Linked DNA regions of Callithrix jacchus. The protein of the gene in region 1 purifies or fractionates together with the protein of each later gene. This does not show direct contact. Links are inferred from orthologs where the notes say so. Each region holds a gene or a part of one and is shown in the gene's direction. Other genes may lie near its edges.

What was found.
Region 2: the proteins of NPC1 (region 1) and PON2 purify together in Homo sapiens (affinity purification with mass spectrometry; 3 studies listed by BioGRID and IntAct, with this or other methods). This does not show direct contact. The link is inferred for Callithrix jacchus from reciprocal best matches to the Homo sapiens genes NPC1 and PON2.

The regions. Positions count from the first base shown.
Region 1 is NC_133514.1:66,652,595-66,656,416, reverse strand, and holds part of NPC1 (NPC intracellular cholesterol transporter 1), read left to right. Parts: intron 1-1,816; coding exon 1,817-1,917; intron 1,918-3,822. UniProt on the Homo sapiens protein: Intracellular cholesterol transporter which acts in concert with NPC2 and plays an important role in the egress of cholesterol from the endosomal/lysosomal compartment.
Region 2 is NC_133512.1:54,261,688-54,265,509, forward strand, and holds part of PON2 (serum paraoxonase/arylesterase 2), read left to right. Parts: intron 1-3,359; coding exon 3,360-3,525; intron 3,526-3,822. UniProt on the Homo sapiens protein: Capable of hydrolyzing lactones and a number of aromatic carboxylic acid esters. Has antioxidant activity. Is not associated with high density lipoprotein.

The DNA.
Region 1 (3,822 bases):
TCGCCTTTGAGGGCACTGATCAGCTAACTACATCTCAGGAGCTGAGGACATTCACTTCTGGTTCTAAAGAACTTTGACCTTGAGTTCTGTTTGTTACTGGAATAAGACTTTTTAAGGAGTTACTCTGTTTCAAGAATGTCACCACTAAAAACATGAGTTATACTCATGAAAAAACAATTAGCTTATGCTCCATACCCTAACCCAGCATTCTCCACAGGGTAGATGGTGCAAGCGAGCCATGGGTAATTTGAAGAAAAAAAAACACATTGAATGTTACATAATTTTTATAGTTGGATGAAGAAAGCATTTACTCTGTTGTGTGAGATAAAAGTCTACAAAAATGAGGGGCGGAGGTGCGTGAGCCTTGTGTTTCCTCATTGCGGGCATGGTTCCCACCAGTGTGGAGGCTGGTGTGAGGGACTGGCAGGCTCCTGGCAGGAACCTGACTTGTTTCTTATTATGCTTGTGCGTGTCCTCATAACCCCAGGCCTGCCTCTAGTGCTGTTTCCTTTCCTCTTCCTCTAGCTTTTCCTGGACTTTTTCACCTGAGGGTCCTGCAGTAATGGCAGGTGGTCTGCCTGGAACCATGCCCTGACCTGCTCTGTCCCCATGTCATTTGAAGGCAGTAACAGCTACCAGTTACTCAGATTTAAGGCTTTATCCCTGAATTTTGCCTTGCCCTCGCCTTCCTCATGGGGTTTTTACAGGTCTGAGCCTCTGGATGGTCCCTCACATCCCTGCTGTGGATGAAGGGACTCGGCTGCTCACTGCAGGTCACCTGACCTCCCTCACACCATCAACCATCCCCTCTGATGAGGGGGTCATATGCAGAAGCTTTTCAGCACCCAGAGCAGTTCTAGCTGATGGTCTGTCTGAAACTGCTGGTTCCCTCTCCACGGGCCGTCTGTCTGTCTGCACTGCACTGCCAGTCGCCTCTTGCCTGGCCCGTTGCACAAACCTCTCTACTTACTGTTCTGCCTGCTTCCTGTTTCTTTGCCATTTCCAGACCTTCTTCCACTTTGCCACGAGAGCTAGCTTTGTAAAACAGCTCATGACATCCCTTTCCCAGAAAGCTCTCATTGTTCCCCAGTGCCTCCAGGATAAAAAATCCAAACTACTTAACTGGCACTGAGTCCTTTTATTTCACAGTCTGTCTGTTGCTCTTCCCAGACTGGCCCCCTTCTTTAGAAGCCCCCTCAGTGGCACCCCATGCCCTAGGAGAGGACTTCTTTTATTTAAATTATGTTTGTTAAGAGATAGAGTCTTGCTATGTTGCCCAGGCTGGACTCAAACTCCTGGGTTATAGCCATCCTTCTGCCTCAGCCTCCTGTGTAGCTGGGATTAGGCATGCCACCATACCTGGCATACAGGACTTGCCAAACCACCATCTTGCTCTCATTCCCTTTCACTGTTCTCTCTCCCTCCTTTTTTCCTCCTGCAGTTGTAATTGTGTGAGACACCTTCTTGTCCTCTCTCTTTGGTGAAATCCCCCTCATCCTCGGAGCTCTGGGTCTGTACGGTCTCTTCCTCTTGGCTATAGTCTCACCTTTTACTGTTTGCTCCCTCCTCTGTGCCCACATAGCAGCATGCACCGTGTACCATTGATGACACTGGGCAGTATTTGCCTGTCTCTTGCCCAGTAATTCTGAGCTACCAAAGGCGAGTACTGGAGCTGTATTATTCAAGTGAGAAACCTCAGGGCCCATGTTGTACTTAGAATACAGCCGGCCTCATCAAATGTTTGTATTGTAAATGTTTAGGTCTCTGTGATATCTTGAGGCCTTTCTAACGGGGAGGTGTTTTCTAAACTTGGCAGGGCTCCGGCCTCTCTGAATGATACAAGTTTGCTCCATGATCCTTGTCTGGGTACATTTGGTGGACCAGTGTTCCCCTGGCTTGTGTTGGGAGGCTATGATGGTGAGTAAGAGAAACCTTAACTTTTTCTATTGGGTAAAGTCATCTCGGTTTTGTCATTAGCTGTAATTATGAAGATTTCATAAATTGAGCAGTTTTGTTAGTTAATTTCCTACCTCTTGAATTCCAAATATAGTACCTCATTTGGCTTTGGGTTTGGGTTTCATTTTGGATTTAAAAGAAGTGGATTATATTAGCCATTTGTAGATCACACATGCCTTTGAGAAGCTGTTGAAGGGTAAGTACCTTTCCCCAGAATAATGCAATTGCTAACTTCAGCTTCAAGGAGGTCATGGGCCCTTGAAGCTCATTTATAGACCCCTGAGGGAGTTCATGGACCTCAGGTAAGAATCCCTGTGAAGGAGAAAAGTTAAAATGTGAGGTATGTGGAAAAAGAAACAAAGTTGATGGATTTTTTTTTTTTCTTCTAAGCCAGTCTCAGTTAGTTATTTGGATGGACACTCTTACAGTATGAAGAACAGCTAGTTTGCTCTTTTCTGGTTCCTGAAGCACTTTAGAACCAATTGTACTTGATAAAATGAGGTGATGGCATCAATAGCTAGACTGTCGATGGAAAAAAAAAAAAATGAGGTGATGATTCATGTGACACCTTTGGCATCTTAAGCCAAATTACAGGCTCAACAGGTTTTTCCCAGCCAATGAAGAACCCAAATAGGTTTTCTTCTCCTCACTCAGTGGTAGGGGAGAAGTTGCAATCTGTATTTAAAATTTACTGTGCATCCTAGAGGAAAATACCATTTCTAATTGGTGGAAAAGGGATGGTGTCAGCAACTGGCTAGCCACAGGGGAAACAGTTGACTTTGATCTCTACCTTGTTCCCAAAGTGCTGGGATCACAGGTGAGCCAGTAGCCAGTAAATTTTTTTTTTTTTAGACAGAGTGCAATGGTGCCATCTTGGCTCACTACAGCCTCTGCCCCGGGGTTGGAACAATTCTCCTGCCTCAGCCTCCCTAGTAGCTGGGATTACAGGTATATGCCACCACACCACACCCAGCTAATTTTATATTTTTAGTAGAGACAGGGTTTTGCCATGTTGTTGAGGCTTGTCTTGAACTCCTGACCTCAGATGCTCCACCCACCTCCGCCTCCCAGGGTGCTGGGATTACAGGCGTGAGCCACCACACCCGGCCATAAATATTTTGACTAAAGTAATGAAAAGTTTAGCCGGACATTGTGGCACACACCTGTGGTTCCAGCTACTTGGGAGGCTGAGGCAGAGAGTTGCTTGAGCCTGGGAAGTCAAGACTTCAGTGAACCATGATAGTGCCACTGCACTCCAGCCAGGGCAATGGAGTGAGACCTTGTCTCTAAAAAAGGCGGGCGGGGGGAGGGAATGAAAAATAGTTCAGCTTATTTGGAAGGCAGTTTGGGAGAATTTATCAAAGTTAGAAATGTATGCAGTTTTTGATTAGTGATTACACTTAAAGAGTTGATTCTAGCCAGGTGCAGTGGCTCATGTCTGTAATCCCAGCAAGCTTTGGGAAGTCAAGGCAGGAGGATCGCTTGAGCCCAGTAGTTCAAGTCCAGCCTGGGCAACATGACAAAATCCCATCTCTACATAAAATGCAAAAATTAGCCAGCAATGGTGGTGCATGCCTGTAGTCCCAGCTACTCGAAGGCTGAGGCAGGAGGTCAAGGCTGCAATGAGCTGTGATCACACCACTGCACTTCAGCCTGGGCAACAGAACAAGACACTGTCCCCTGTCTCCCTCTCACCCCCAAAAAAGAAAAAAGAATTGAAGAATTGATTCTACAAGTATGTGTTTTATACATTAAAATATTTATAAGCTATTTTTAATAACTTTATAATAGAAAAAAATGCAAAACTGCTCATCAATGGGAGGGATTGGTCAAAGTGTACTAGAAAATATTCGTAGGAAAAGAATA
Region 2 (3,822 bases), on another chromosome or scaffold:
GCCTCCTGAGTAGCTGGGATTACAGATACCTGCCACCATGCCCAGCTAACTTCTGTATTTTTTAGTAGAGATGGGGTTTCACCATTTTGGCCAGGCTGATCTTGAACTTCTGACCTCAGGTGATCCGCCCACCTGAGCATCCTAAAGTGCTGAGATTACAGGAGTGAGCCACAATGCCCAGCCGCAATCTGTGTTTTAAATATGCATTATTAAAAGGGATATATGAGATCTTCCTGTGGATACTCAATACTAACATGCTATTTTAAATACAGCATCTACCCATCTGTCTATTACATATTCAACTTTAAGCAAATATTCTTGCCATTATTATTTATTTTCAAATATTATACCAACCTTGCCCTATTGCTTTCTTTCTTTTTTCCCCTGAATAGCCAATCATAAGTGGAAAGTCATTGACTGAGTTTATTTACACCCTTCACTTTGCCTTGATTCTTGTGAGCTGAAAAATAGTATCCTTTCTGGGCATACCATAGAAAGACTTTAAAAACAGTTGGCTTGTGAATATTGTTGAAAATGGCTTGCAACAATATCCATTCTAATTGGAAATCCAGATAAGAGGTCAGATGAGGAGGTTCTGACCACCTACCTCCCTGGCTTGGGCAGATGTAGGAATTCTTGGCATCTTCATAGGTCCAGTTTTTCTGGAGGAAGAAGTAACCAACTCTTCTGAAGCCTGACTGTAATTATTCTGTTTCCTCTCAACATCCATTATTTTCAGTCTCTGAGACTCAGGAAGAATATGGAAAAACTGGAAGATACTTAGAAGGGAGTCACCACACTAATAAAATAGTTGTTAGACTTATGAGAAAGGTGAGAGAACTCAGCTTGGAATAGAATGAGAGTGAGAACAGTCTTCAGGTTCCTGACGGTTTTTATATGAAAGACTGTGAGCAGCTGGTTATTACCACTGAGGGAATAAAGAAATACTGTGGGCTTTAGCAGAAACACCAATATATATATTTAATTAAAAAAATAAGGTTTTAAAAGAAAGGTTTTATTTAATTGCCAACACAGAATGAGTAAAGTAATATTTATAGTAGAATTCTGGGTTTGTTTAGAAGCACATGCTTGCACATGTGTATATAGGCTTAGGAAAAATTACTGGGACCACTAGTCCAACATATTCAGAAGTAGAGATGCAAAAATTCTGAATAACGTAGAACGCAGTCGCATTGAATTTTTTGTTTGTTTGTGGTTTTGTCGTTGTTGTTTTGCAAGGATGTGTTCTTAGAGATTTTTATAATCTAGAATTCACCTATTTCAAGATTTCTCTCCAGCCCCCATAGTAATAAATCTGAAGTAGGAGGGATGAGGTCTCCAAGCACACAACTCTATAGCCATTTTAGCTTGGGGGCATATTACAGTTACAAAGATCTTATAGCCATGTCAGTAGAACTTTTTCTGCTTTTTTTCTGTTATCCTCCTTTGGTTATTTGACTTTGATTTTTAAACAAATTTAGAAACATTCCCAGTTTGCTGCTGTTTTTCATTTACTTGGTATTGTCTCTAATATAACCCAGAGTGTACTGTCTTCTAAGTGAAGAGCTCCTACATTGTGGGGATTGTTTGTTGTTCTTCCTAGCATTTTAGCTCATCCAACCTGACCTATTTTACAGTTATGGGTTGAGGGTCACCTCAAAATTAATGTCACACTTCATGAATAATTGGATGACATACAATAAAAGGTAAAAAATATAAACAACAATGTGAGTGTACTTCACACCACTGAACTGTACACTTAAAAATGGTGAAAGTGATGAATATTATGTGAATTTTATCACAATTAAAAATAAATTTATAAAAAGAGAAAAAAATACTTAATAAGGAGCGCCAGCATAACCATGTCTAGTTATTACCATCTGATAGTGTTTCCTTTGCATGGAAATCATGCTATTGTTTTGGGGACATTCATAAAGAATAGAGATTAATAATAACTGAAGTGGCACTGCCATGTAACGATAGCATAATTCCAGTTTGTTCTACTTACGCCGCCTGCCTTCCATGAAAGTATACGATTATAGATCATTTTAATTGGAGAGATTTCCTCTTATATCCAATTTTATACGTAAAGTGAGACTTTTTTATTGTGCCGTTAAATTTGCTTAAAATATGACTTCACCGTATTAGTAAACTGAATAAGGTAATGCATTCAAATAAAATTTATCACCAAGAAGGCTTTACCTTAAGAATGCAATGATGAATCACATTTTTAGATAGGCTGATAGGTAATTTAATAACTGATTTAAAAGAAAAGACGTAGATCATCTCAGTGAGTACCAAAAAAGCATTTAATAAAATTTAATACTTATTCCTAGAGTTTCAAGCAAACTAGAAGGAGAAGGAAAATTCCCACAAAACTACAGCGAACATTTTTCTTAATGGTGAAGCATTACCTGCATTTGCATTAATGTTCCAACAGGAAGAAAATACCCAGCAATACCACAACCCTCAGTAATCTACTAGGGTTCTTAGGGATTCAGTAAAACAAGAAAAAGAAACTTGAGATAGGAAAGAAAAAGACAAAACTGTCAGGAGAAACAGGGACTGGCTCAATTGCCCAGGCTGCTGTGCGGTAGTACAGTCAGGTCACTGCAGGCTGAACTGCTAAACTCCTGTACTCAAGAGATCCTTCCACCTTAGCCAAGTAGCTAGGACTACAAGTGCTCACCACAAAACCCACCTAATTTTTTTTTTTTTTAGTAGAGACCAGCTATGTTACCCAGGCTGGTCTCAAACTCCTGGCCTCAAGCAATCCTGCCATGTCAGCCTCCCAAAGTGCTGGGATCATAGGCATGAGCCACCAGGCCTGACCTAAAGCTGTAGTAATTTAAAAGCTGTTATACTGGCACAAGAATAGGCATGAGACATTAAAAGAACACAACAGAGAGTCCCTAAATAGACCAATATGTAAGAGATCTAGCACATGATAAATGAGACATTTTGAATCAGTGGGAAAAGGATGGACTATATGCCGGGCACTGTTCCAGGCAGTGGGATCTAGCAGTGAACAAACTTTCCACAGTCAGTATGCAGATGTCACTTTTCTCCACTTTCAGCTTTCCCTGGATCACCTTGTCCACCAACCTTCTGATTACCCTCTGAAGAGAATAAATCCCTGATCTTCTGTATCAACTCAACAAAATCAGTTATTTTCAGCTTTCAGTGTTCCAGCTCCCCGTTATTATTTTTTCTATTATACTTTCTCTGTTTTTTGAGTTTTTTGTGGCTTTATACCACTACTGTAACCATATCTCTATTTCTCCTTCATGTACAGTTCCCATGTTAGTCTGTAAAGACACTTCAGCCTTTGTATTTAACATTTTTCACTGTTTTGGAAGGGTCTGAAATTCCCAGGACTCCACAGCTTTGCACCAGATAAGCCTGGAGGAATACTAATGATGGATCTAAAAGAAGAAAAACCGAGGGCACGGGAATTAAGAATCAGCCGTGGGTTTGATTTGGCTTCATTCAACCCACATGGCATCAGCACTTTCATAGACAATGGTAAGAGCCAATGAGCTACCAATGTTTTGAAACCTGTGATGGTTCACAAATGACTATGAAAAAGAGATTCGGATCATATTTATAGGAAGAGAAGAACAATTAAGTCATGAATGATTTCTGTATTCTTCAGTACAAACAAGTTGTTCATCTGCCTCTTGAGCTGGCAGTAAGTTATGCTACATTTTGAAATTTCTAACAGTTAACACCTGATAGAATGTTTAGATTTTATAATCTTTTCATATACCTATGATCATTGCATTTTAAAAAGAACTGTATTTTTGAATTAAACTAGAAACA